Rhinolophus ferrumequinum: one gene and its partners. The protein of the gene in region 1 interacts with the protein of each later gene in a pairwise test. Links are inferred from orthologs where the notes say so. Each region holds a gene or a part of one and is shown in the gene's direction. Other genes may lie near its edges. The genes, in order: SNRPB, PSMA3, RBPMS and BAG4.

Region 1 (7,115 bases):
GCAGTGCCCATCAGCCCGAGGCCCTTCAGACACAGACACTGTGTGATCCAGGCTTTGTGTCAACATTAACTCCCTACTCTCTGCATACTCAACTCGATTTGTCCTTCTGCCTACCAGCTTTGGCTTGCCTGTATTCCAGAAGGTTATTCCTGCTTGTCGGTTGACTGTAGACCAGCTCTGGCCTGTGCAAAGCACCCACTAACCCAACTTTTCCATCACCCAGTGGGTTGTGACTACACCTCCAAGAGGGCTGAACCCCAGCCTTGGGGAGGGAAACTTCCTTTCAGGTTTATCCTTCCTTAGTACTTTCCCTCAGCTAAAGGTTTTCTTTCAATAGGTACAGTTCCTCTCCTATCATTGCATAATAATTCTTTATGTTAAATTTCCCATTTAAATTTTTACTGTGTGGTTTTTGTCTCCTTATTGGACCTAGATTGATACAGATGTGAATGTGTGTGTGTAGTTTTTATATGAGGGCAAAGACATGAACTTTTGATGGCATTTATTCAATGAACCCATAAGCCAAAGAAATGACTCAAGTCAAAGTTATTATTAATAGAAAGTGAGGCTACGGCCCTGAATCCAGACACAGAAATCTAATGCGCTAGGCCAGGGAATGGCAAACTACAGCCTGAAGGCTGAATCTGGACTGCCACCTATTTTTGTAAAGCCTGTGAACTAAGAATGGCTTTTACATTTTAAAGGGTTGAAAATAATCAAAATAATAATAATATTTTGTGACACATGTTTGTGTCCATAAATAATGTTTTATTGTAACACAGGCACACATTCATGTATTATCTATAGCTGCTTTCATGCTACAATGGTTGAGTTGAGTAATTGCATCAGAGACCATATGGCCCACAAATCCTAAAATACTATCTGATCCTTAACAGAAAAAGTTTGCTGATCCCTGATCTAGACTGAACCTTGGGAGCACTTTACCAAAAGCCAAATGAATAATCTATTTAACTTCATGCTCTCGAATCCATGACTCCTTTTTTCTTATATGTAGAAACTGACAAGCTGATTCTAAAGTTTGCATGGAATTTCAAGGGATCCAGAATGCCAAAATAATTTGGCAAAAGAAAAATTAGGAGGACTCACATTTTCTGATTTCAAAACTTACTACAAAGCAATGATACTAACATAAGAATAGACATATAGATCAATGGAATAGAATCGAAAAGTCAGAAATAAATCCACGTGTCTACAGTTAACTGATTTTCCACAAGGTGCCCAGACTATTCAATGGGGGAAGAAATAGTCTTTTCAATAAGTGGTGCTGTGACACTGGATAGCTCCCTGCAAAAGAGTAAAGTTTGAACCTTACCTTATACTGTATATAAATATTACTAAAAATGTATCAAAGATCTAAATGTAAGAACAAAAACTAAAACTATGAGAAGGAAACATGGCTAAATCTTCATGATCTTGGATTTGGCAAAGGATTCTTAGATAATACTACCAAAAGCATGAGCAACAAAAGGAGAAAAGGTAAATTAGACTCCACGGAATTAAAAACTTGTGCAGGACACTATTGAGAAAGTGAAAAGACAACCCACAGAATGAGAGAAAATGTTTATTAATCATATCTGATATGAGATATGGGACTTGTATCTAGAATACATAAAGAACTCATAAAACTCAATCAGAAAAGATACATAACCCAAGAATGATATACAAAAGGCCAATAAGTACATGAAAAGATGCTCAACATCATTAGTCACCAGGGACATGAAATCAAAACCACAGTTGGATAGATACCACTTCACACGCCTAGGATGGTTGAATCCAAAAGTCAATAATAAGCGTTGGTGAAGATGTGGAGAAATCAGAACCCTCATACACTGCTTGTGGGAATGTAAAATAATGCAGCCACTTTGGAAAGCAGTCTGGCAGTTCCTCAGTTAAACAGAGTTACCAGTAATTCCACTCCTAAGTATACATGAAAGGGAAATGAAAGCATATGTCTACATGAAAACTTGCACACGTGTTTAAAACAGCATTATTCATAATCGCTAAAAGGTGTAAACAACTCAAATGTCCATCAACTGATGACAGAATAAACAAAAGTGGCATATCCCTACAAAGAAATACTATTCAGCCATAAAAGAAATGAAGTACTGATATGTGGCACAACATGGATGAACCTTAAAAATATGCTAAGTGAAAAAAAGCAGTTACCAAAGACCGCAGATATTATATGATCCCCTTGATAAAAAATGTCTGGAATGTCCTTCACTTTATTCAGGTCTCTGCTCCTGTGCCAATCCTCAGAGAAGCTTCCTCTGACCATGTAGCCAACATTACAACTCATCACTCTCAGTCCCCCTTCCCCACTTTATTTTTCTCATATCACTCTAATGTTACTTTCTAGAATGTATTCATTTGGTTTATTGTCTGCCTTTCTCACTAAAACATGAACTCCTTCAGGGAAGGGACATTGTATCTCAGTAATAGTGCGTGGCCTTAGTAGGTGCTAAATAAATATTTTTTAAAATGCATGCATCAGTGATATGTTAAGAGGCAGGGTAATTTGGGAGCAGCTGAGGAGCCAGACGGTACCATATGTCTGTTCTGATGCTGCCACCTTGGGCAAGATAATTCATCTCTCTGAGCCTCCATTCTCTTCCTCTACAGGTTGACAGAAACAGGACAACAGAATATACATCTTAGGATGGTGTGAGGATGACAAGGTCCTGAGGTGGAGGCTTTCCTTGCTGGCTTTGAGGAACAGCAAAGAGACTGGTGTGGCTGTGATGAATGAGGGGAACGTTGAAGGAGATGAGGTTGGAGAGGGATGCAGGGCTGATTTTATTCCACGTGTGCTGGGAAGTTATTGGGAGGTGGAGAGCAGGGCAATGACATCATTTGATAAAATCCCAGTACATTAGAGAAGAATCCCTCTGGCTGCTGTGAGAGCAAGAGAGGAAGCAAAGAACAGTTAGGGGCTCATTCAGTGATCCAAGTCAGAGATAATGGTGGCTAGGACTGGCGTGGTAGCAGTGGAACTCGTTTCAACAGTCAGATTCAAGACATTTTGAAGGTGAGGCACATAGGATTTGCTGTTTATGAGAAGGGAGAGAAATAGGAATCAAGGATGCTACCAAATTTGTCATTTTGTTTTCTAACCCAAGAAACTTCTGAGATGGGAAACACTGGTAGAAAGTGGTATTGGGAAGAAAATAGAATCAAGAATTCAGTTTTCAACGTTAAATTTAGTATGGCTATTAGACATCCATGTGAAGCAGGTGGCTGGATATAAAAGACCAGGCGTTAAATGAAGAAACCAGGGTTAGAAGAATAGATTTGAAAAAAGCCTGAACCTATAGGTAGCATTCAAAAGACATGGGACTGGATGGGATTGATTGATTGAGTCAAATAATTATTAAGCCTTTATTTTGTGCCAAGCAGTGTTCTAGGCACTGCAGCAATGAACAATACACACAAAAAATCATACGTTGGAACTTACATTCTAATAGGGAGGGACAGCAAAATAACTAACAAAAAAAAATAGTATGTTAGCGATCAGTGTTAAAGAGAAAAATAAAACTGGGATGGGTGGGAAGGTTGCAATTTTAAACAGAATGGCCAGGGAAGTCCTCAGTGGGAAAATGTTATTTGAACTTAAGTCTTGAAGTTGAGGGCATGAGCTATGAATGTACCTGGACCACTAGCATTCCAGACAGGCAACAGCAAATGCAAAGGTGCTGAGGCAGGAGCACGTCCAGCAAGTTCACGGAAAAGTCGGGACAGTGGCTATAGAGCAGAGAGCAGGGGTAGAGTAGTGGGAGATGAGGACCGAGAGTTAACGGACCGGGCCGGGGGATGACAGTGTGCAGGAGCAGCTCCTGCACGAAGGGGTCCAAGGAGAATCCTAAACTAACCGAGTTCAGTTTGGTTAGCGCTGCCCAAGCCCAGCCCAACCTCCCGCCCCGCTCTAAGATTCCTTTTCCGCACGGTGGGCGGAACGCGAGGGCAGGGCTCTGGGACCGGAAGTAGTTTTCTACCCGAACCCATTTTGCTCCCGGACGTATTTCCGGTAGCGGCGGCGGGAAGCTGGCGACTGGAGGCCCTCTAGGCCTCCCCACAGGCGAATCCGGCGGGAATCCAAGCCATCAGAACCGCCACCATGGTGAGGAGGCGCAGGCTGGAGGCGCGGGAGCTTCCGAGTCTGTTGTTCAGGCGGGGACCGGGACTGATTGGCGGGGAAGGCCGTGCTTGGCCGCTCATGGCGATGAAGGCCCGGGCCGCGGCCGCTCGGTCAGGGCACTAAAGACCCGAGACCTTGGTCGTTCGGCGGGTTGGGGGAGGGGAAGGCTGGCACTGAGGGGGAAGGCCGGGGTCGCTCGGTGGGGGCGAGGATGGAACTGCGGCTCTCCACGCCGCTGTAGCCACAGTACTTGGGATCCTGTAGGAACTAAGTAAACTTTTGTAGAAGAAATGTGTTCCGGGGTTTTCGGAGCAGGCACTAGAGCCGCAGGAGGACTAAGGAAGACCTACTAAGAGGCTCAGACTTGTGAAGGGAGTGAGGGTCTGAGCAGTTACGGAAAAAGTGCAAGGGCTTGCGGCCGAAACTGGAGTGTTCTTGGATCTAGTCGGTGGCGGGAACGGTAGGGTGACTGAGAATGTTTGGAGGAAGAGTTGAACTCATTTTTTCAGCATGTATGTATGAGTACGTCGGACTTTTCAGGCGCTGGGGCTACACAATGAAATGTTTCCTACACCGAGTTGACTTTGTAGTTGGAGACACCGGTAATATTAGGTTGGTGCAAAAGTAATTGCGGTTTCTGCAACTTAACCTTTTAAACCGCAATTACTTTTGCACCAACCTAATAGAATTCAGAGTGGTAATAAAGCATTGAGTGAAAGTAATGGCGGGAGGCGAGCAGGGTAAGAATGCTGTAGGGAGTAGAGGATTCCTGAGCAGAATTGTACAAGGTTGTTAGGTGTTTTCCCAGCGAAAATGAGAGGGGACATTATAGATAAGAAAGGATGCGAGAGCAAAGCATGAAAGGTAGCACTATTGAAAGTTGCTGGAGGGGGAAAGGAAGAGCTGGAAGTGGGGCTGGGAGGAATTGGCAGGAGGATGGTTACTAAAAGGCTTACATTCTGCTTAATCCTGCTGGTGATGAGGCGTGTCGTTGAAGGCTTGTAAGGAGCAAAATGACATGAATTTAAGTTGTGTTTAGAAAGATTACTTTGTTCTGTAGCTGTTCTGTGTAGGGTGAAGTGAAAGCAGGGAAACCTGGCAGGATACTGTTTGGGGGAATTTTGTCTCCCAGCTTCAGTGGCTTCATCTGTAAACTAGGAACAATGGGACTGATTTTGAGATTTAAATGAGATACATAGTGCTTATCACAGTTCTTGGTATACAGTGAGCACCCAGTAAGAGTTGGTTGTTGCTGGGTGGACCAAAAAATGTTGCCATAAAGGTTCAGATCTTTGTGGCCAGAAGCTGTGTGATTACCTGCCAGTTAAAAATAAGAGTCATCTAAGAGAGACTGAACCATATAACCTGGGTCTCCAGGGTGAATGTCAAGATTCTGATCCACACATTTGTGGGTTCAGAAACCCGTTCTTGTCCAAGCTCACAGAAGTGAACAGCATACCCAGGCCTGGCATTTGAAGGCACTTGGATGAGTTAGGACTGGCCCACACCATTCACTGATGGGAGGCTGATGATACCCGGATCAAATGCCAGGGCATTTATTTCTAGAGAGAACTATAACTGCCAGGGGCACCTGACAATTTGCATTGTGATGTGTATATAGTCTATTTTAACAAAGCTATACTGGAATCCAAGTAATAAAGCAGAATAGATTATTGGGTTAATTAAGACGTGTAGCGAGTTACATATTCTTAAAGACCATGTGTGTTCAAACTGATTAGCACACTGGTCACCAGAAAGCTTTCCTCCCAAAGGTAGTCTTGGAGGCACACTTATTTGGGGATTGCATTCTCACCTCCACGCTGACCAGCTCCTTTCTGATAAGCTTCTGGTTGATTGGATTTTTAGTGCCAGTCCCATTCCAGCTCTTTCCTCAGTCTTTTTAATGGGATGTGGGTGACAGCACTGGAGTCACACACCTAGAATCCACAGTGGCAGATGACTAATCTCGTATGGGTGGATTGGATTAGTTTGGAGACATCCTGCACTCACCCCTGAAACACAGCCTAAACAAAGGCAGTTGTAATACGAAATGATTTGAAGGGGAGGAGAATAATAGTAGTGGGTAGAGGTCAGGGCTGAACACGGGGTGACACGGGAGGATTCCTGGCAAAGGGCTGTGGCTGGAAGACAGAACTGAGAATCTACTGAGAAAGACAGACACATGGCAAAGAAGGCCACAGCAGACTTTTGAGGAAGGGCTAGGGATATGTGGGTCCCAAGGAGCCGAGTGTCATCCCCACTGATCTCTCCTTGCAGACCGTGGGCAAGAGCAGCAAGATGCTGCAGCACATCGACTACAGGATGAGGTGCATCCTGCAAGACGGTCGTATCTTCATTGGCACCTTCAAGGCTTTTGACAAGCACATGAATTTGATCCTATGTGACTGCGATGAATTCAGGAAGATCAAGTGAGGAGTGGGCTGTGGGGAGGGATTTGGGGGAGGGGGGTAGATTGGGTGGGTGGGCCAAGTGACAGGTCATGTAGTTAGCTGGTTTCTGTCAGTTTGTTTGCTCTCCTGGTTGAGAGGGCAGATTTAAATGGGGACATTGGTCACTAAGAAATCGCCTTCCTTAGCCCAGCAAGCCTGTTCTGTAGTTGTAGCAGAGTACAAGTTGTAAGGAGAGCTGCTAGGCTTTTTGTTTCTCTGACTTTCTTGTGCCCCTGGGTACTGGGGTAAAGGGCTCTCATGTTCTCCCCACAGGTGTGTGAGGGGGGAGAGCTTGATTTTCTGGCCTCAGTGCCTATTTGTAAAGCTGTAGCCTAAAGGGCTTTCCCAATGCAGCCTGGTCTGAAACTGCTTTAAGAAGCCTCTGACCCTCTTCAGGGTAAGTGCTCAGCTCCCTGTGTGGGTTTGGGGCCAGTGATTTTTGTTGGCATTTATAGAAACAATTGGAGATATTTTCTGCTTTCCTATAATTCCATAAGTTACTAGTTAAC
Region 2 (7,361 bases), on another chromosome or scaffold:
TCTAGCATCCAGAACTGAGACAAATTTCAGTTTTAAGCCACCCAGTTTGTGGTGCTTTGTTATGACAGCCCTAGGAAACTAACAGACCCTTAATTCAACACATTTATTGAATATCTATCAGATATTAACTTATTAGGTGCTTAAGATCATAAGTGAGCAACGACAAAAATTCTGCCCTTTGGACCTACACTACATTGCAACAGGGTAGGAGAGAGTGAAGAGACAGATAAAAACCTATGAATATGATACCTTCTATGGGAAAAATAGGATGAAGTGGGTAGTGGGTAATTGCCAATTAGAATAGGATAATTAGGGTTGGGTACACTTCTTAGTGATTTGAAACAAGACATATTGCGCAAGTGTGGGTAATAAAAAATAATACTTGGTCTCTGTAACCCGTTCCTGACATAGCTCCTAAAACCCTTACAATTTCCTGAGGGATGGGGGTGTTAGGAGCATCTTACCCAGAGTTCCTAAATCCCTTGGAATTTTCTGGAGTGTGTTTTGTTCTAATGAGGCAACTTTTGGTGGGCTCTTGGGTAGCTTCAGGATAAGGGCTGGTCACCAGAAAGACCAAGCCCTGATTACAAGCTTGGAACTTTCTGCCCCAACCCACATCCTCCAGGGAGAGGAGAGAGGCTGGAGATTGAGTTATTAAACCTCCACAAAAATCCCTGAACTACAGGGTTCAGAAAGCTTTCAGGATGGTGAACACATCCAGGTGCTAGGAGGGTTGCGTTCCAGGAGGGCATGGAAGCTCCATGAAGCTTCCCCAAACCTTGCCTTATGCATCTCTTCCATTTGGCTATTCCTGAGCTGTATCCTTTATAATAAACTAGAAATAAGTAAACTTTTCCTAAGTTCTGGAGCCGTTCTAGGTAATTACCAAACCTGAAGAGAGGGTTGTGGGAAACTTCGATTTATAGTTGGTTAGTAGAAGGGCGGGAGGCCTGGACTTGGGATTGGCTTCTCACAGAACATCCACTTTAGGCAAGTCGGTCACTCTCCAACTCAAAACACCAAGCATCCTCTCTTGTTAAGTGAGTGACACTTTACTAATTTCAGCTTCATCCCTCCTTTAGTCTGCTCTCCCTAGAGATAAGATTTATTACGGTTATAGAATTGCCCTGACTTTCTAAGAACACCCAGTCCAGAAGGAATCCGCACTTCCATGGACCCTCAAAATTACCCACTTAAAGTCCAATCTTATAATAGGTTCTTTCTAATACCCTTTTACTGAAACACCCCAAGTTCTCCCTCACTGCAATGAGTAATACATCAAACTCGTTCAACTTTAGGTGATGTTTTGGTCTGGGCATTTTCAGGGTTAAGAAATGTGAAGAGGAGAATGGTGAAGTTAGATGACTGGGAAGGGGTGACTCGCTCCAAAGGGGAAAGAGAGAAATATAATGGTAGCCTGCAGGAAAACGAGGTCAAAGTTTTTGTTTTAAGATAGAGAAATAACAGCATGTTTGTATGTTGAAGGAAACAAATAAGAAACATTGGTGGTTTAGTAGGAGGAAAGCTCGTGGATAACACACAGAGGTATACCTAATAGCCCATCGGAATTTTCACATCCGAGTTTTTTTGTACTTCTGTTTCAAAGAGCCTCACCCTTACCAGAATATTAACTTCCTAATCACCATTCGATTGGATAGATCCCAAATATAGTCCCAAGAATAATGGAAGAAAAGTTGATGTATGTACTGGTTGTACAGATCTGACAACAGAAAGAAATATTTCTCTCAGGTGTATTCTGGAGATATCCCCCTATCTTCCCTCTACTTCAGGACAGGCCCTAAAAGGAAAGTAAGAAAAAGTAAAAGAAAGGAAAACATTTTCTTCAAAGTCCTCCAGCCTCCCTAGGTGCTTTTTACATAGGATCTCTTTAAGTTTTGGGAAAGCTGCCAAAATCGGGGCTCATATATTTTTTTCCGATAAAAGCAAAAATTGCCTTCTACCAGCAACTATGTAAGTATGCAGAGTAACACAGAAAACAAGTCTCAACTAAATAGTGGCCTTCCAGTTTCCTCTGCTTTACAGAGGAGGTCAGGGAGGGATCGCAGAAAGGAAGAGGAATGTGTGCTTCCACGTGCGCAAGCGTAGTTCGAGACTTGTTTCGTTTGCAAAATGAAGTCTTTTTTCCCAGAGTTTTGGTTCATATTCAAATTATTCAAATTAATTCGATTTAAAATATCCCTCCTCAGTAATAATGCTTTGGGAAAACCTTAAGATACAACTTCGTAGGAGAAAAAAGTCATTTGCGCCCAACGTGGGGCTCGAACCCACGACCCTGGGATTAAGAGTCCCATGCTCTACCGACTGAGCTAGCCGGGCGCTCGGAAGTTGGCTGGATTTTTTTTATGTCTTGATAATTGTTCAGCTACGTTAGGTGTTTGTTCTTTTACCTCTTCTTTGTAAATTGTGTACTATTAAATATGCACTTCCGAATTATTTTCAAGAATTCTTTAAAACATTTAATTATACTTAAGTTTAATAATTTTTATTGCGTGTGTATCCCACGATCATTGAAAATTTATGCAAATCTTTATCATTATAGTCATTGAATTTTTTCTCTTAAGTATTTTAAAATACTCACTGCCCAAAATGTTATTTTAAAAAAACACGTATGAAGGCCATCCATCTTCTGCCAAATGGCACACCGGATTCCTACAATTTGTGCGGGAGCATTAAAAAACAAATTTCCACATCTAAGAGGTTAGTGTTGCACTGAAGAACAGCGGAGGTTAGATATTTTCGTTTAATATGATCTAGTCAAGGAAAGTTAAACTGAGGAAGGGGATTCTAGTTCAATTAAAATAAGGCTACTTTCCAGTAACTGCTTGACATTTGAGAGATTGTTATTACTATCCAGCTCAAATGACAGAAGCTGGGTGGTAAGGATTATAGTCATTGAATCTTACGGTAAAGAATGCTAATTCTAAGAGGAAAGGATAAAAACTGATTCTGATCAAATTATGACAAGCTGAGACAATGGAATAATCTCCTGTAGAAATATTAAGCAACTATTTATGTTAAGCAACTATTTCCCAGGTTAAAGGAGCCTAGGTTAAAGGACAGCTGAATGCAATATGGACAGGTTAAAGGACAACTGAATGCAATATGTGATCTTGGATTTTCTTTTGCAGTTAAGGGCATTGTTGAGATAATTGCCAAAATCTAAAACGCGGTATATGGAAAATAGTATTGTTAATTTTCTGATTTTCATAATTTTACTGTGACTATGTAAAATAATGTTGTTTGGGGGGAAATACACACTTAAGTATTTAGTAGTTAAAAATGATGCTAATGACCTTCCATTTTTTATCAGATTAAAATCCCAGCTACTACTGGATCTGGTCCTATATCCACCTCTCTGATTTCACCTGTCACTCTTCCGCACTCAATCACTATGATGGGCCACACGGACCTGACAGTTCCTATAACATGCCAAGTTTATATTCTTATAAGAATAATCCTAAATTTCAGTTTAAATATCACCCATTCAGAAATTCATTCCCTAAGTACTAGGCCTAAAGTTCAAATCTCTCGTCTCTTTCATCTTCTTATCACAAGGTCCAAGTATTTTGCCTATTCACTCTTTGTTGCCTGTTTCCTCTCATTGAATGTAAACTCCATGAGGGATGTAGTTAAGTCTACTTCATCGTTTTATCACCAGTGTTTTGCAGAGTACTTGGGACATATTAGAGCTCAATAAATATATTTAATCAGTCTTATCCTTAATTCTACTAGTTATATTCACAAAAAGGGTACTAATGCTTTTGTAAAATTTCTGAGGTCAAAGGCGATGCCCTTAGAATGCAAGTTTCTTCTTTGTGAGGATAGGTGGGTGAAGGGGATGCCCTCAAAATACTGGGTCAGAACCAGAATGCCCTACTGCTTTTTCTAGTCTTGGTAAGAACATCTCTCCGCTTTGCTGTAAGAAAGTATGAGGTAGCAAAACAGAGTGATAATATAAATGATAAATAATTCCTAGAAAATGGAATGGAGGAGCTTCTCAAACAATTTGAAGACTTAAAACGGCTCAACAGCACTCGAAGGAAATGCAGAGGAAGAACACTGTATACTCCCCTAACCCCACCTCATTTGAATCTGCATATGCGCGTCGCCCGCCATGTTCGTCCCCTCCTTTTCCCACAATCCTCTGTGTCCAGGGCTAAAGACTGAGGAATGAGCCAAAGAGAAGACTATTGGTCGAAAGAGCAGCCAATGAGAGAGCCTGTTACTCGTCTGCGTGCTGCAGGATAGAGGGGCGCATTAGGCCTTGAAGCCCTACGCGTTCCCCTGGATTTAGCAGGATGAGTTCAATCGGCACCGGGGTGAGTTGGTTGTCTCTGCATATGATAGTCTAATCTAAGGATTAGCGTTGAAGGGAACTCGGACAGACCACTTGGGGTGCGCTGGGACTGCCACCGGCCAGGTGGGCCGCTTCCGGTTGTCTGGTGAACTGCTGTCTTTCCTGCGCTAATTTCTAGGCCGCAGCCTGCGGTGACGGTGTCCTGAAATTTTTAAGCTCAGGTGTAACGGGCTTGGCGGCGCAGCAATAAGATCTGGAGCCACTTTTGAGTTGCTGAGTCACTTTCTTTAGCCTCTTCGGGAAACCGAAAGTGGAATCTCGTGGGGCCTGAAATAGTGTGGGAAGGGTTTGTGCTACAGTTAGCCCTTCTTGAGAACCACTGAGGCGAGGCGGCTTGAGATTCCAACTTCCGAGACGCAGCTTTCCGTGGGCCTTTGCAGTTCCTAGGGGGCTGCTGACTCATGAGACCTTCTCCATCTTCCCTTCGAGTGTAGTGATTGCTCAGTGTGACTCCCTGGAAACCTATCGGGACAGAACTCAAAAAGAAAAACGGTCTGAAAAGCGAAATCTCAAGAATCCTTTACGTTTTTCCTTTGTCCCAGCGTTTCCTGTACAATTACTTAACAGCACAGTACCATAAACATTGAAATGATTAGCTAGGGACCTAACCGCTTCTGACTTTTAATAGACAAGACTTAAGGATTTTGAACTTGGTCTTGTTAACTTGTTCGGCTTACTACTTTATTTTGTTAAACGTAGTGCATATATACAATCTTGTTTACTCCTTTTATGTATTTCTCCATATAGAAAACACAGTTTCGTTTAGAAATATTGGTTGTTTGTACTAGAGGCATCGAGTAATGGGTTTCTTAGCTCATCTTTATCTACACTTCACAAGATTTTGATCCTCACCTCAGCATTAAGCCCATACATTGGTTTTCCGAGTTTGATAATGCGTATTATATCTTAAGTTTGGAATGGTTTAATCCATTCAGTTATGAGATGCTAAGGTTATGTTATACTTTTTTTAGGAGTAGTTGCTCAATAATGCATGTTGTAGTAAATTGGCTTTGCACCTTCGTTAATATTACTTTCGATTGATAGTGTTTCCTTCGACAAACCCTTTAAAAATACTTGATAATACAACCATGTGAGATATTTTGGTATAACAATGGTAGAATTAAGGATCACGGTTTAGCAGATCATGAAACAGACTCAGCAGGAAGCACGACTGTTGAAGGCTTATCCTGTCTTCACTTCTTCCAAGAACTTCAGATAAGGAGATCTGTCTACTTGACATTTCTCTCTACAGGTTGTTTAATAGGATTTCAAACTACATGTCCTAAGTAGCTCTGGGTTTTCTCCTCCCAGTTGTCATTTTGTGTCTCCTACAATCTTCAGTGGTTCAGCTCTAGTTGCTCAAGTGAAAAAAAAAACAAAATCTATGATTTCACCTTAATTTCTTTTTTACTTTGCTCCTTGTATCTCTTAACAATCCTCAGCTCAGTGAATGGTCCAGTTCTAGTTGGTTAAATGAAAAAAAAATCTATCCTTCACCTTTAATTTCTTTGTTACTTTACTCCTACAGCAAATTCATTAGCAGTTTTTTTTCCCCCCTCTAGCCTCAAAAGTTACTGCCTTCAGTCTCTTTTTCTCTAAGCCACCACTTTTGGAATACCCGATTTCTGCTTCCACTCTTGTTCCTTCTGCAGTTCATTTCCCAGAGTAATGATGTTTTTAAAAAATAGATCATATCACCCCCGTTTAAATTTCAGTGACTTCCTACTGCATTTAGAATACATTATAAACTTCCTACTCCAGCCTAGAAGACTCAACATACTTTGGCCCTTCCATTGTGTCTGATACAGTTTTCTCTCTACCACCTACAGTGCTCAAGACACAGTGACCTTATTTCTTTTCCTCGATTGTGCTCGGTTTATTTCTACCTAAGGTCTTTATGCCAAATATGGAGGATGGCTCCTTCATATCCTCAATGGCTAGTTACTCCTTATTTAGATCTGACTCAATCTAAATAACTAAATATAATTAACCCAGCAAGGCCTTTCCTGATCAGGTAGTCTGTAGTAGTCCCTCACATTATCACTTCAACCTGTTTTATTTTCTTGATAGTCCATATTCTGGTTTATTGCTATTATCTCCAGCACCTAGATTTGTGCCTGGTCTGATTTGAAAATGAAGGACTTCAAAAATGAGTGTTCTTTGTATTCCCTAATAGTGACTAATATATGCTTATTACATGTTTGAATGCTAACTGATTTGTCTAAGTAAGGCCCTTCAGTTTCTTAGTGCCACAGCTATGACCGTGTTTCCCCGAAAATAAGACCTAGCCACACAATCAGCTCTAATGCGTCTTTTGGAGCAAAAATTAATAAAAGACCTGGTATTATATTATATTATACTGTACTATGTTGTATTTTATGTTATACCCGGTCTTATAAGACCGGGTCGTATATTAATTTTTGCTCCAAAAGACACATTAGAGCTGATTGTTCGGCTAAGTCTTATTTTCGGGGGAACACGGGAATTAAAATGTTCTGACTCCAGTGCTATTTCTGCTATCCCACAGTAATTTTTTTCAAAACTGAGCTTTGTGTTTTGTGTGAAAAAGTTCTGATTTTATCTAGGACATGTATCTATTGCTTTTCAGTAGCAGAAATCTAAAATGTCTAACTTTTCCCTTGGCTGATGTTGCTGCTCTGACATGGTAAAGCAAAATCTCTGTTGAGATTTAACACAAATTTCTGATGTGTAAGCCATTTAGGAAAAAAATATATAAGGTTACTATTGCCAGAGCTACATCATTATAGGCTTACTGTTGCTTTTTTCCTCTTAGTATGACCTGTCAGCCTCTACATTCTCTCCTGATGGAAGAGTTTTTCAAGTTGAATATGCTATGAAGGCTGTGGAAAATAGTAGGTAAGAAACAGTATTTTACTTAAAATTAGCATGTTTTAACCAGTTATTAAATAGCTCCTTTTCTGTGTTTTTGGTAATTAGCCTCTGTTATGTTACTTTGGTACAA
Region 3 (7,200 bases), on another chromosome or scaffold:
TTCAGTTATCTATTGCTGTATAACAAACCAACCTAGAACTTAGTGTTTCAAAACAACAGCATTCACTTTTTTTGCTAACAATTTTGCAATTTGGGCAGGAGTCAGTGAAGACAGCTCATCTTGCTTTCATGTGGCGTCAGCTGGGGCTAAGCGATTATCCACTTCCAAGATAACTCACTCACAAGGCTGGCAATTGGTACCGGCTGTCCACTAAGAGCTCAGCTGGGGCTATAATCCTCTTCCCTGTGAGCCTGTCCATGTGGCTGCGTAGGCTTCCATGAGTACTTGGAGGGAAGTGATTGAATCTCAGAACTATTTAGGAGGTAAAGATCAGAAGACTGTCTTAAATTATGTCTTAAATGACTGGTCTTAAATTATGTCTTAAATGTACAACAATGTGAATATACTGTAAGCTACTGACTGTATACTCAAAAATGGTTCAGGTGGTCAATACTATGTTGTGTGTGTTTTTAGCCACAATTGAAAAATAATAAATAAACTCAGGGGATGATGGTGATGGCCTGGAGGTGGGTGGGGGTGGGTGAAAGAGAAAGAAATGTTATGGATGACAAAAACCAATAAAACACAGTCTCTGGCCTGAAAAACTTGTTTGGTCCAGCAGAGGATGCAGAACAGATAACAGTCACAACACATGTGGTAGACACTGCAGCTTTCTGCTGCAGTGCTAACATAGGTACAAAGACCATGCCCAAAATAGGCCTTTAATATCTGTAATGACCTGTCATTTAAGACATAATTCTAGGTTCGAATTTCTTAAAGCACACCTCAAAATGAACATAGCCAGAGAAATAGAGATGAGTAATAAAAACTATAGGTGCATACAATATTTCCCTAGCAATATAGCATGTAACCTGGTAGGCCAGAAGCAGCGTTGTAGGGTGGTGGGCAGGAAAGAAAGCAGATGTTTCTTGGTCATTAGCCCTATTTTTCTAGGATATAAAATCCCTTTGTTGTCTTACAAGTCTTAGTGCGTCTGGAAACTATTGCTACTGAGATCTCACTTTTGAAACTTTCTTTCTTTGAAGTAGTAAACAGGTCATAAAGATCATTTATATCCGAAATGAATGTACATGGCCCTCTCCCCCCCCACACTCAAACTTTCCCCATACTCACAAGATTTTATAAATAGCCAAATACACAGATTTTCATTGAGTTTTGTTGGCAACATGACTCTATTGTTCTTCCATATAAGTCTAAACCATTTCTAAAGAAAAGGGCAAAATAGGAGTACCCCTTTTACTGGCATGTTACCCCATCCCTACACACTTTTCTGAAGACACCTTGAATTTCATTCACCATTGACTATATAGTTTAGGTCTCCCTGCTTTGTTGTCAACTGCATGTGTCAGTTGACTGGCTCAGTTGTGGTTTGGGGCCCTCGTGCTGAGTCGTGTGATTTTATTTTTTATTTCTTGAAATCTCATCGATTGTCCTTTTCTGCACAGGCTGTCGTCTATCTAGGGTCTCCTCTCTGCAAAATAATGACTAATGACCACTCCATGAATCTGCCTCATGCCCCATGTGATGGCTCTCCATGCCTCCACTAATTCAGTCCCTCCTGCCAGGTCTTGGAAGGATCTGATAATGTCATTTAAGCCTCAGAATCAAAACTGATAAAACAATGTCTTCATTCATTCACAAATCATTGTTGAGTGCCTACTATGCATTAGGCAGTATCTAGATGTTGGGATCACAACAATGAACAAGTTAGACAAGGATCCTCTCATGGAACTTATTCTTGTTTTTTTTTTTTTGTTTTTTTTTTTTTTAATCTCAGAGGTGTTTGACTTTTAACAATGGACAAAATGCCAGCTTGGCTTAAAGACAAAGGAAACAGGTTCTACATTTGGAATTAAGCCACATTTCCCTGGGTGGGGGTAGGGAAGGTTCGCCCAGCATCCTGGAATCATACTTCTTCCACTGACTTATAAGAGAAGTCGGACTGGAATCATCAAGGACTAGATCAACTGTCCTTTTTCTTGGGCCCTTGCCAGGCTCCAGCAAGACAATACCTTTTTGTGCAGTGTATTCAGTTAACAGGCAAGAAAGGCCAAGGAGAGTAGAGCTAGCATTAGAGGTCAGCACAGGGGCCCAAGACCACCCCTCGCCAATGCTCGGGAAGACATTGCCCCCTCGTGGTTCCTCACACAACCCAGTGAGGAACTGGAGGTGGAAACAGTTGTCCAGGTAACTTCAATTTCAATTTCAATAGACTCTGGGTTCATTTTCACCCAGGATACACACTGTCTCCCCTATAGAAGGAAATGACATCACGACAGCAATTAAATCTCTTTATCAAAATCTTCAGACTCCCCTCATCACCAGGAAAAATCCGCTATGTAAATCCAAGTATCACTGCTGTTTTTCTCTTCCGAATGCTCTTAAAGCGGTATTTGCTTTGCTTTCCGCAATTTGAACCGGGATCTGTGATTATGTTGCCAGTGGAGTTGTTTTGGATATCCTGTCGCCACAACACCACTTTACACTCCCTGACAGCGGGAGCCTTATCTTCAATTCCCACCACCACCCTCACCCCATAGCCAGCAGCACTTAAAACGGTATAAGGGTAAAGAATGTCTAGTAGGGGTGGGGAGGGGGGAGAGATGACCAGTGGAGCAAGCAAATAATTAGAAATTGTGTTTGGTGCTGTGCTGGAAAGGAACAGCATGCTGGGAAAGAAAATTCCTGGAGGTAGGAAGTGAGGGAGAATCTACTGATGTATGGAGTTTTAAACGTAGGTGTTTGTAGTAGTCAAGTTTGAAAGCTTAAATGATACAGTATTGGAAAAGCTCTCTATGGCGCAAGAAAAATGGAAATGTCCTTAATAAGAATGTTAGCTTCCATGTGTCACACACTTAAAGTGGGTAAGAATGGGTGCTAGGTGCTATCGCTCTATCAAACTATAATCTGCTCTAATGGCAAACTCCTGGGAGATAAATATAACTACTCCCTTTTCACAGGTTCGAGGAAAGGATGCCACATGGTCCGTCCGAGGTTGGTGCCTGAACAAGCTTCGTGCGCTGACCTCCCGGAATGCTGAGTCTCTTTTAAGCAGCAGCTTTGACACTCTACAGATCAGCTCTGTTGGCCCCCGGTTCGGCTTGCAGTGAGGGGGAACATTCCCTTAGCCAACAAATATTTATCGAGTGTCTACTATATACCAGGTGGCGTATTTATAAAGCTGTGGGATTAAAAAGATAAACAGGGCACGGTCTTGTCTTCCAGGGAGGAGCTCTCAAAAGAGTCAGAAAGGCAGCCAGGTAAACATTAATTCCAGAACAGTCTGATAAGGGCTGTGACAAGAGTCTGAACTGAACAGGGGCCCGGGGGAGCCTCGCGGAGAGTAACGGCGGCGGCCGGTTCGGGGGATCGGGGGTGGGGATCGCGGTGGGAAAGGTTTTGGAGGACCCCGCGTGTGAAGTGGGCTTGAAGTTGTGCCCTGAAAACGGCGGCCCGGCTCAGGCTGCCCCCGGATGTCACTCCAGTTCTCGCATCCTGTCATTTCCAGCTGCGGACTAGGAAGGGAAGAAATAGGTGTAAACCGGTGTAGGGGTGCAAATCCCTCGTGAGAATCCCACAAACAAAAGTAGCACATCACACCTAGCGGTGGTCACACTGGCAGAGGGCCTGTCTCCTCGAAGCCCCGCTCCAAGTTCGCGAGCACCGCCACGCCAGTTCGCCAACTCCGTCCCCACACTGCCACCAGGGTAACTCGGAAGACCTGACCTTCCCTCCTTCCGCGCGGCCCTCTCCCTCGGACCTACAGCGGAGCCGGAGGCTGGGGTCTGCCGCTTCCGCCCGTGCTCCCCCCCCCCCCGCCCCGGGGCGCACGCCTTTGGGCCGCGGGGCAGCTGCCCCCGGCACAGCCCCTCCTCCCGCGGGGGCTTCGCGGTTCGCGTCTTGTCCCTCTCGGCGACAGCCTGCAGCCCACGTCCAGGGAGGGCGGAGGGAGGAGGGGGAGGGAAGAGGGGAGGGAGGAAGGCGAAAGAAAGGGCGCAGCTTGGTTGCTGGACTTCCCAGAGTGAACCAGGAGCGCGCACTCAGCCGCTCTCCGCGTCCCAGCGTCCCAGCCGCGGCCCGCGCCCCTCTGTCCCACTCCTCCTCCTCCTCCGCCGCCGCCGCCTTTCTGGGCGCCTCTCGCCCCCTCCCTTCAGCAGCGGCTAGGCTTGGGCTGCGGTCGCCCCCAACCCCTAGTCGGCCACATCCCCAACTCTCTGGGGTCACTCCTGGGACGCGCGTCCTCGCCCCATCCTTTCTTCCTTCCTTCCTTCCCCTTGCGCCCGCCCTCGCTCTCCAGGTCTCCGGCCCGGGTCCCGATTGTCTCCGGCCCCTACTCAGCCCGCGCCTCGCCCTGCCGGGTCTCTTTCTTGCACTTCCTGAGTCGCCCGCCGCCGCAGTCGCGCCGCGCCCGGGAGCCCGAACTCGAGACGCCGCTGCCCAGGCTCCAACCCGCCGCGCCCGGGGAAGGGAAAAGTGGGCGAGCGCGCCCTCGCCCAGCCCCGCGCCCCAGCCCTGCCCGGCGAGGGAGGACCGGGAAGATGAACAACGGCGTCAAAGCCGAGAAGGAGAACACCCCGAACGAGGCCAACCTTCAGGAGGAAGAGGTACTGATGGCTCGGTGCGGTGGCGGGTACGACCTGGGACGCTAACCGCGCCGGCTTTCTCCGAAGTGCGGGCGGCGGGCGGGGAGAGGCTGGCGGGATGCGGGCACTGGTCCCGGGGCACCACAGTCCAGGGGGTGGGAATTGCCGCAGACTGTGGTCCCGGGAGAGTGTATCTTCGAAGAGTGTGTTTTTGTGGGTGCGTGCCTAACATTGCGTAACTTTGAGGACTTTTCGGAAACTTTTGTAAGTATAATGCTCAGCTTTGTTTGCCCGAGATTTTAAAAGCGGAATCGAGACTGACTCCTGGGTGACCTCAGATTATTGGGACCCGGAGTATCAGGACTTAGTTCTGCGTCCGGCCCTGGAAGTTGTGGGGTGTGTTTGTGTGTGTGGTTTAAGGAAGAAGTCGGGGAAAGTTCGTCTTAAAAGATACCTTCTATTCCCTGCCCCCTCCCTTTCAGCGTTGAAAGTTCTTGGTGAAATATCTTTCCAGCTGAGGCATTTTGGATTAATAGATAACTGCTCAGCCGCATTCTTCTCTGATGAGTCAAAGACCCCGAACCTGGGTGATTAGGTTTTGTAAATGTGGGGGCGATGCGGTTGTGGGGAGCAGAGTTTAAAACTTTACAATTAACCAAATTATCCTCGAGGCAATTTTAATAGGACTTTGACTTCCGAGCGTAAATTTTATGTGGTGGGTCCCTAATAACGATAAAAATGTTGGGGCTGCCGAGCTTTCCTTTGGTGTAAACAGAATTCAGTCAGTGTAGGAGGGAAGTCCTGAACACATGTTTCAGAATCTGTAGTTAGGATATTTATCGTATCCTATAAAAGGGCTCTTTTCCTACAGGTACATGATCTGGAGTCCAAGAAACAATGTTTTTCGCCTACTTTTTTTAGATCCGACCTAGTGGAGTTCTTAAACATGCTAAAAAGAACTTTAGAATGTGTGTAAATGCAGAAAGTATGCATCTAGGTATGACCTATAAAGCATTCTTACAGGTATATCATCCTATATATAAGGCTAACAGAATGGTAAACGGATTCTAAAGTGGTTAGGATATTGAGATTATTATTGAGATAATGTTATGTGCAAACTGAAATTCTGATAGTGAAACCAAATTTTGTGGAGGATTTGATTAGTACATATAAGCCCTTAGCCCATTGTCCACTTGTAACTGGGGAAGTAAAGGAGAGAACTAAAACCACGCAAAATTAACACAAAATTTTACTCTTAACATGGATGTAGGGTAGTGCAACCTAGGTGAATTGCAGTAAGCCAAAAATTGCCTTCTCACATGAGGAAACTGCCTATTTTATTATAAACTATTATTTTGAAAAGCGTTGCTTACATGCTTGTTGTGTTGAACTACAAGTGAAGGAATACTGTTGACATTTCCTTCTTTTTCAAAGAGGGGACTTGAATTGCAAGTTCTACTTTTTTCTTGAACCTCGCTGGCTTCTTTGCTATTTATTTTTCCTGCCACTAAAATAAAATTTAAAAAATGATGACAAGTTTGCCTTTTTTTGTGAATCGCTATATTTAACAAATTCACAGAACACACCAAGGTAATAATTGCTTCAGAAGCTTTTCTATTTAAGGTAGGTTGGCAATCTGTGTACTTCAAAGGGTAAGAACATATTGTATGAAATCAGCTTTTTCTCTTCACCCAATTAAGAAAACTTGTAAATGTAAAACATTAATCAGGCAAAGTAAAGGTTTCTTTCTTTTTTTTTTCTTTTGGTAGGTAGCAAAAGAGGTTTGAGTGTCCCCAAACCATAACCTACTTAACTTGATAAAATTAAATAAAGTCACATTTTTCTGCTTAACCTTTCTCAGCCTAACTACTGCCAGTACTGAGGTGTTGTTTGCCCTGTTTCTGGTCATCTTAATGTGTGAGGTTGTGTCCAAGTAGAATCACAGGTGACCTCAGTATAGTCACTCCCTCTTACCTGTCCTGTTGTCATTACAGTGTTCCTTTTTAGGTGGGAACGGCTTGTGGCTCTAGGAAGTGTCAGTAGCTTTAGCAAGACACTTGCTATTTTAAAAACAGGTTAGGAAGATTTCAGAACCTAAGTTGTACAAAAGGTGGAGTGCGTAAAACAGATACACTATAAAGACAGAGGGTTTGTAATGTTAAAAATTCAGGAAAAGAAAGTCAGTTGGCCTGAATAATCCAGGTAATTTTGCACAAGTTCCCTGTTTTGGATTTATGTTTTGGTTTTGGAAAACTCCGAACCTCTTTTGTCTAACTCTGGAAGCCACAGGTAAAATAAATATGGTTTTTAGTGAGTCTCATTAATGTGCTCAGCATTATACAAAACCACCACACTGGACCCTTTTCCTGCCCACCCAACGATCGGCAATTTGTCCTCAAACACATCTAAAAGTCTTGGCTGAGGACTCCAGTAAACAGCACACAGACATATAAAATATATACACACATAATGACAAGAGAGGAAAAATGTGTTTTGTTGTAGTTTCTGGTGGTGATTGCACTGACGAGGAAGAGAGAGTCCAATCATCATTAAGGGAGAACGGTTTATTTCATAGATCGTCAGGGTAGTTGAGTCT
Region 4 (8,165 bases), on another chromosome or scaffold:
TTAAGGAAAATTAAATTCATTTATCATTAATTACTAATATCAACATGAGTATAAGAAAATATATAAATGAGTAGGGTACTTGGAAGACCAAACAACTGCAGAGATTAAAACTGTTTTTTTTTTGGGTTTTTTTTTAAAAGACGGAAACAGTTTTTCTATGCTGTGTGGGTATGTATATCTGATTATTGACTGAAGATTTAACTTTGTTTCAGTACTTAGGATTCATTTAATATCATACAGATGTCCACAAATTATGCTGCTGCAAAAACCTATTTTTTCACTTTGTCAGATAAGCATACCTGCTAATGAGAGTAAAGCCAGTATTTACTTTTACCTCAAAGTAGTTTGATGAATTTGTTAAGATTTACAAATCCAATCTGTTAAGAATAATTATTTTTCTTCTTTCAATTGGTACCATTTGTCTTACTTGAAAAAAAGCAGATTATCTATGCGCTTATCTTCTATAACTCTTACAGGTGTTTCAATTGTTGTTTTTCCTCCTGCCTAAATCCACTGACCTAACAGATGTTTACCACATGGTGAGATGAACTAGAAGTTTCTTGAAACAGAAGCAACTATAGATGTCTTCAGAAAAATGCAGGAGCAAAACAAAAGACCAAGACTCTTGAGTCTGACGTATTCCTAAGTGTAAAATCTTGAGCTTAATGTTGGAGTCCCTAAAAAGCTTCGGGAAATGCCTTCTATCCAATTTTCTTTGGACGGGGTGGGGTTACATTCAGTGCAGGAACTGCTCTGCAGAGTAGTTGCACCTGAGCCAACGTACAAATGAGCAGCTTTTTCATTGGACTGAGTTTATTTCTATCATTTGGTCCCTCTCATTGGGAAATTAAAAAAATAGTCCAAAACATTGTATGTTTTCATGAGAACCAGTTTTAGAATTACAAACTTGTAAGTGCAAGCTTTTAAACAATCTAATCATAATTTAGGAAACAATGATGTAATGACTCAAAACAGTATTCCATTATGCCAGACACGTGAAAAAGTTGGCGATAAATAAATTTCAATATGAAATAACACAAAAAATACAATGGGCAACTCGTATTATCTAGAGTATAGGAGAAGTCCACAACTAATACATACCAAACTGATCAATGCTTCTCAAAAAGCCTATAAGCGTCCTTCCATCTCGAAGAAGGACCAAGTGCTTTTCTGGGAAAAGGAAAAAAGATCTTTAAAAATGAAAACTGTTAGCATCAGTGAGTTTACAGGGTAACAACAAAAATAAAGTTAACAGCAGTTTACTTCTACCACTTCCTCTTCCCATGTATTTAAGGTGGAGTTTATTGGGAAATTAGAGGGAGGACCAAGGCAGCCTAGGTTACAAGATTAGTGGTGAAAAAAATCATAGTGTGGCAAAGTAGAAAAAGGACTGGCTGAGTAGTCAGGAAGCCTGACTGGCTCTAGACGTTGATGTTTGACAGTTACACCTCCTCAGTGTCATGTCAAGTTTCTGTATCTGCAAATTGAGAAATTTAGTCTGGATGATCTTTATGATCTTAATTCTAGAATTGTTTCCCTTCAACTTAGAAGAGCTTCTATTTCACACTTTGGAGTCAGGGAAGATTTTAAATTAAAAACAATACCTCAGACATGTAAAATGAGGATGCTGATAATAAGCTAGAGCAAAAATTCAATAATATTTATTGAAAGCTACGTGCTGTTCTGGAGCCTCTATATACAGTACTGAATAAAACTCAGAGATTCACCAACCTTATGAACTTATATTCCTGGTGGAGGAAGGCAAACAAATAAAAAAATGACCTATGGTGATCACTACTATGGAATAATAAGTAAGATAGCAGGATAGTAGGATGAAAAGAAAGTAGCTACAGAAGAGAGGGTGGCTAGGGAAAACCTCTCTGAAGAGGTGACTTGGAGCTGACTCTGAAAAATGACAATAAGCCAGTCACTAGAATAACTAGCAAAGATCATTCATTTGTTTCTTTAAGACCACACATAAAGTACTTCATAGATGTAGAACAGAGGAACAGGGTGCTTCTTCCCGGAAGGAATTTATAATTTTCCTTGGGCTATAATTAAGTACCATAAGAGAGCACATCTTAATTATATGAGACTGAGAGAAATTCGAGCTGGAGGCTGTATCTGAGTTGGTTCTTGAAAGTTAGATAATTTTTGTTCATGGGAAGAGTGACAGCGAAGGGGATGGTTTGGGAAATCTGTAATTTAGATAGGAGGAAAAAAAGGGCTATGTATCCATATGTTTGGAGAAGAGTTGACGGCATGGAGAGAAATAACAGGAACGAAGTCAGAAAAAAGAACTGGGAGCAGGTTGAGTCTGGGTTTGATTTTATAGGGAACAAGAAAACACATTGAAGACTGAACTGGCAGAAAAGGGAGAGCAGCTGAGGCTATTTCCAGTGTCTGGAACATGAAGAGACCTGAACCAAGGTAGGGATGAGAAGGGCAAGGATGGAAGTACTAAAACTGTGCAGTTTAAAGTAATGGGATTTGTCAACTAATTGAGTTTGTATATGCGGGTAGGTGTGAGAGAGTGTGGTGCTAAAGAAATAAGTTAAGCAGCGGTAGGCATTTTGCGTCATCATCAGGGAGGACCACTTACCAAAAGTCTGGAGTAAACAAAGCAAGCTCAGGGTGGAAGATTATTAGCTGTTTGTAATTCTGAAGTGCTATCAGGACACTTAGGTAGAAATGTCAACAGATAATTGGAAATGTAAGACTGCCAAAGAGGTCTGAATTAGAGCAATTTCGGATTGCTCTAATCCACAAAGAGGTGATATAATTATTAAAGTCCAGGAGATCTCCTAGAGATTTAAAGAAAGAAGCAGGTCAAACATGGAACCTAAGAGACCATCTATTTTAGGGAACAGTAAGAGGTAGAGAGGTAAGAAAATCAACAACTACTAGTATTGAAGAAATCCAGAGTACAGAATTAAGAATCCAGTGGTAATAGTTGCAGTGCTGCAGAGGGGAGGGGAAGACTCAGAAAAGTGCCCTAGACTGATGCCTTTTAAGAATGCAGCTTCACTAGTGTGTGGACAACAAAAATCAAATTGCAGGTGGTCAGGACGAGTCAAAATGGAGATGACTCAAAAGGTTTGGGGGTAAAGATATGAAAAAAGGGATGGGAGTTTGAGGAGACACAACTGAAAAAAAAAATTGAGATGGACAAAAACATGTGAAAGGAAGGATCCAGGAGGAGAGAGAAAGATACAAGGTGTGAGAGAAAAAGGATATTAATGGCAGAAGGTTCCAGAAACAGTGAGAGGAAAGAGTAATAAAAGACAAACTGAAAGGAAGGAATACTTCCTACTCAATGAGAGGACGGGTGAAAATACAGAAAGACTAAGGAGAGAGGAGGCAAGTGTGTGGGAGGTGCAGTGAAGAGTACATATGAAATGGTTTCGAACATTTCAGTAAAGGAGGGGGCCTGGAATCTACAAACAAGAGGTTAGAAGGCTTAAGAACAAAACTTATTTTTAATAGAACGACAGGATGTGTTAGGGCCTCAAATAATTCAGATACATAAAAAGAGAGGTGAGGGCAAAATGGCATCCTCAGACAACTTAAGATTTCATCACACATTAGAGATAGGCTTGTACAGTGGTTAGTTACATGTACGAATTTGGTCCAATTTACACTGTATTTCCCTTCAATAGCAAAATCACTAATTTGGATTTAAAAAATGATCTCAGACAATAAAAAGTTTAATTACACACTCACTCTAATCTGTATATATAGTAACTGTAGAGATTGTTGTAACTTGTTTGGAACTGTGTGTAAACCATTTTGCAGCAATTACAAGTTAATGAGACAGGATCACACAAAACATTTACAAAAATGTTGCTTGAGGAATAATTCACAGATGACAGTTTAGCAAAAGGACAGACTATATATATATGTATATGTATATATATATATATATATATCCTCTTTCATACAGGACTGAATTCCTCTTCAGGATAATGATTAAGAATAAGGGAGGTCTTCTTAAGTAAAAGCAAAAGAAAATTGTTGAACAGAAAAAAAAGAAGTGAATCAACTCTGCCTTTCCAGAAAAGTCAATACCTTGTCTGGCAGTGGTCTCTGCTACCATAATTTGAAAGTACTAAAGACCCTTACGGTAAAAGAATATTGCAAATGACTACACAGCATAAAGCCTATGTTTACTGCCAATAAGTCCAAATGCTATTAATATTCTCATTTCTTGATGAATGCTTTAAGCATTCTCATTCATCCACCAGTAACAACCTGGTACTTCAGCAGCGTCCCTGGGAAGCAGGACTGAATGGTACAGCTTGTGGTTGACCAGCCGGTGCAGGCTGCGTGGGGCAGGACGGAGGTAATAGAGGTCGTAGGCTAGGAGGTAGGCAAAGGGTGTGTCCCGTGGCTCCTCCATCCCGTGGAGCATGTCAACACCAAACACCCAGAACTGTGCTCAAATCACACCGCCCCCCGCCCCAGACTCGTTCTACGAGCTTCCTCGAAAGAGGCACCCTTCGGGGAGGAAGGGTCTCACCCCAAACTGATTTAACTCACTGTCGATGTCCTCGATGAGGCTGGCGGTGCCTGGCATATAGTTCATTTTGAACTGAGATAAGACTGCAGTGTATAGCTGCGGTGGGCCAGCGTGTGCAACACCTCCCTCCTCCTACCGGAGTCGCCGCCTCGTCGGAACCGGGACAGTAACCCGGACCGGGACCAGCGCGTCCGCCCCGGCTTTCAGCCGCAGGGGCCTGCCGGAAACTCCTCCATAATATCCCTACCTACTTCCGGTACCACGTGCCCATCGTCTGGAAGAGGCGGGACCGTCGTGCGGTCCGGGGACACACTTTCCCCATCTGAGGAGAGGGAAAGAGGAATCTACATGGCATAGGTGATGGGAAAACGTAGTCTCCCTTTCAAGGAACACGGTGCAGCCCCTCGTTTTCCTGCTTCCCAGACCCCCAGAGTCACGGACCTTCGTCCATCAACTCCCAGGCGTCCGCCGCTGAAGGGGCGGTACCAGGCCTGGGATTGGCTGTTGTCGGCCGACCCCCTTCATTGTTGTCCATTCCCTGTCGCTGGCAGGGGCCTGCGCAATGAGCCGGCCGTGGGGGGCGGGAAGCGCTTCGGGGCAGCGGTGCCCATGTCGGCCTTAAGGCGCTCGGGCTACGGCCCCAGTGACGGTCCGTCTTATGGCCGCTACTATGGGCCTGGGGGTGGAGATATGCCGGTGCATCCACCTCCACCCTTATATCCTCCTCGCTCTGAACCTCCTCAGCCTCCCATTTCCTGGCGGGTGCGCGGGGGCGGCCCTGCTGAGACCTCTTGGCCAGGAGAAGGCGGAGGAGGCGATGGCTACTATCCCTCTGGAGGTCCCTGGACGGAGCCGGGTCGAGCTGGAGGAAACCACCAGGTAAGCTTTGCGCCATCTGTCCTAGGAGGTTCTGGGAGGGGGTTCTTTGGGAGTGAGGTCCATTGGGATTAGTATACCCCCTGAGTTCGTATCGGATCGGGTTTCATATTTGTTTTCCTTATTGGGGGGTTTGTAGAAATAAGACTGGGCTCGTGGGTGGGGAGATATGCTTGTGTTCTGTTTGCCCCTCCTTTTCTGCTTCGACCATAATAAATGTCTATTACCATTAAAAAAGGAAAAAAGATCCTGCGCTGACTTGCTAAGCTAGGTAGAGGATGCGGAATGTCGCCTGGGAACGATGTTGGGCTGAAGTGACCCGGCTCTGCTTTTTGAGCTCTAGCAATTTATCCTGCGTGGCTCGTCAGGCCTGCTCTCCCCCCGAGAAGGGAGGTGGCTGCAGCCCCCGCCGTCATTCAGCAACCTCTTCCGCGGGGAAGGAATTTAGGAAGGAGGTGGGGGGAATGTGGGCATTTATTTAGCCCTTTGTCCCTAATGCTTTGCCTGGGATTGACTCAACGAATAATCAGCGTTGGGAAGTATTTTTACGTGGATTGTTTTATTTAATCTTCACGGCGACTGCAACATAAATGTCATTTATGTTGATCCTAATAGTGACCCTATTAAAGAACTGTTGGCTCTGAGAGGTTAACTCAACCTGCTCAATATAGTCGGACCTATAACATTTCTTATATTCTTGCCAGAAACGTACAGTACTTCTGTTTTGTTAATGCAGTATTTTTCGTAGAGAATTATTACACAATGTGTGTGGGGGGGTCACATCTCTCTTTCAGAAATTATAACACCCTCATTGTTTGAAAATGTAGTAGTGAAATTCCCATACATTGCTGGTGGGAATGTAACATGGTTCAGTGCTTTGTAAAGTAGTTTGGCAGTTCCTCAAAATATTAAGCACAGAGTTAGCATATTACTCAGCAAGTCTGCTCATGGATATACCTGGGGGGGGGTGCCCAAAAAAGATTTATACACATTTTAGGATATGTTATCTGTGCTCAAGCAGTAGTTCGTGGTAATCAGAAGTGTCTGGACGCTGATGGTAACCATTTTGAACACCTCTTGTAATTGCAGAAGTCAAACGTGACTTGTTTCATCTTTTGTTATCCGTATATGTTGAGTATTACAATTAATACAGTTTTTCCCTTTTAAAATGTGTATACATTTTTTTGGCACGCTCTGTATATGCAAGAGAATTGGAAACATATGTGTATTAAAAACTTGTATATGCATTTTCACAGCAATGTTATTCATAATGGCCAAAAAGTGGAAATAACCCAAATGTCCATCAACTGATGAATAGGTAAAATATGGAATGTTCGTACAATGAAATTATGTAGCCATAGAAAGGAGTGAAGTACTGTACATACATTCTACAACATGGACGAACCTAGAAAACATCATACTACGTGAACAAAGCCAGTCAGATAGACCACATATTGTATGATTTCATTTATATAAAATGTCCAGAATAAGCAAATCTGTAGAGTCAAACATTAGTGCTTGCCAGGGTTTTGGGGACTGGGGACATTGGGAGTGATAGATAAAAAGTAAGGGGTTTCTTTTTGGGATGATGAAAATATTCTGAAATTAGATAGTGACGATGATTATACAACTTTGAAGATGCTAAAAACCATTGACTTGTACACTTAAAAGGGTAGGTTTTATGGTATGTTAGTTGCATCTTTAAAAAGTTGTATGAGAAAAAAGCATGTAGTAGTGAGAGGTTAATTATGAAGAGAGTTCCATATTTTCTGTCTAAATCTAGAATAATTAGCCTGTGGGACTTGAATCCCTTGGTAGAGTAGAGTGATGAACTGTTTGGTCTATAAGTAGGCAAATTAGACCAAAGACCAAGGGAGAGGAGAGGACCACTGATGACTTCTACTTGGGCTTGCAGTATTATCAAAACAAAAGTGTGTTTTAGGGGTGAGGTTAGAGAAGTTAAGATGTTAGTATTGTGTAGATGTAAGGTATGGATGGAGCATAGCGTGTACATAGGCTGGGTGATGGTGCTGCAGTAGTTGGAGATAAAGCTGGGATGTGTACTGGACGTTCATAAACCATTTCAAGAGTTTATCTTCAGATTGATGTTTCTGAAACTTGAAAAGTATAGGATTATAATCTATGCAGCAATAGAAAATTAATACAAAAGATTTGCATGTTGCAAATGTTTTTTTTTCCAAATTTGTTTGTTTTTTAACTTTATTGTGGTTGTGATATATAAGTTTTACATTTTTTACATAATCAAATATGTCAAACAAACAAAAGGTATAGGAGCCTTTTAAAACCGTACTACTCAAAAAGTGTGGTCCTTTGACCAGAAGCTTCAGTGTTGCTTGGAGGTTGTTAGAAATGCAGACTTTCCTGCTCCAGACTTGCTGCTGCATTTTAATAAAAGCCCCAGGTGATTTGTATGCATGTTCACATTTGAGAAGCACAGCTCTATAGAATTGGATATATTGAGATAATGTTGCAGTGAACCACTACAAAAACTTGACTCTCTACATTTAAATATGGCAGGAGAAAAAACCCAGAAATCTACCTTTCCCTGTTTTCTTTCTTTTCTTACTTGGTTAGCTGTACTTGGCAGCATTGTAGTTTGATCCCTGAACTAGCAGCATCTGCATTACTTAGGAGCTTGTTGGAAATGCTGTATCTCAGGCCCTGCCCCAGACTTACCGAATCAGAATGTGCATTTCACCAAGATCTGTAGATGATTTTCATGTTCTCCCAGAATGAGAGAGGAGAGAGA

Evidence for each region.
Region 2: the proteins of SNRPB (region 1) and PSMA3 interact in binary tests that used the Homo sapiens proteins (3 or more experiments, as listed by UniProt). The link is inferred for Rhinolophus ferrumequinum from reciprocal best matches to the Homo sapiens genes SNRPB and PSMA3.
Region 3: the proteins of SNRPB (region 1) and RBPMS interact in binary tests that used the Homo sapiens proteins (3 or more experiments, as listed by UniProt). The link is inferred for Rhinolophus ferrumequinum from reciprocal best matches to the Homo sapiens genes SNRPB and RBPMS.
Region 4: the proteins of SNRPB (region 1) and BAG4 interact in binary tests that used the Homo sapiens proteins (3 or more experiments, as listed by UniProt). The link is inferred for Rhinolophus ferrumequinum from reciprocal best matches to the Homo sapiens genes SNRPB and BAG4.

The regions. Positions count from the first base shown.
Region 1 is NC_046306.1:24,783,951-24,791,065, reverse strand, and holds the start of SNRPB (small nuclear ribonucleoprotein-associated proteins B and B'), read left to right. Parts: upstream 1-3,999; 5' UTR 4,000-4,135; coding exon 4,136-4,138; intron 4,139-6,433; coding exon 6,434-6,585; intron 6,586-7,115. UniProt on the Homo sapiens protein: Plays a role in pre-mRNA splicing as a core component of the spliceosomal U1, U2, U4 and U5 small nuclear ribonucleoproteins (snRNPs), the building blocks of the spliceosome.
Region 2 is NC_046289.1:35,995,617-36,002,977, reverse strand, and holds the start of PSMA3 (proteasome subunit alpha type-3), read left to right. Parts: upstream 1-4,185; 5' UTR 4,186-4,319; coding exon 4,320-4,340; intron 4,341-7,172; coding exon 7,173-7,255; intron 7,256-7,361. UniProt on the Homo sapiens protein: Component of the 20S core proteasome complex involved in the proteolytic degradation of most intracellular proteins. This complex plays numerous essential roles within the cell by associating with different regulatory particles.
Region 3 is NC_046287.1:67,296,020-67,303,219, reverse strand, and holds the start of RBPMS (RNA-binding protein with multiple splicing), read left to right. Parts: upstream 1-4,056; 5' UTR 4,057-4,559; coding exon 4,560-4,625; intron 4,626-7,200.
Region 4 is NC_046287.1:61,425,428-61,433,592, reverse strand, and holds the start of BAG4 (BAG family molecular chaperone regulator 4), read left to right. Parts: upstream 1-5,074; 5' UTR 5,075-5,128; coding exon 5,129-5,398; intron 5,399-8,165. Other genes in the region: U6 snRNA-associated Sm-like protein LSm1, read right to left, coding at 1,102-1,170, 4,540-4,585. UniProt on the Homo sapiens protein: Inhibits the chaperone activity of HSP70/HSC70 by promoting substrate release. Prevents constitutive TNFRSF1A signaling. Negative regulator of PRKN translocation to damaged mitochondria.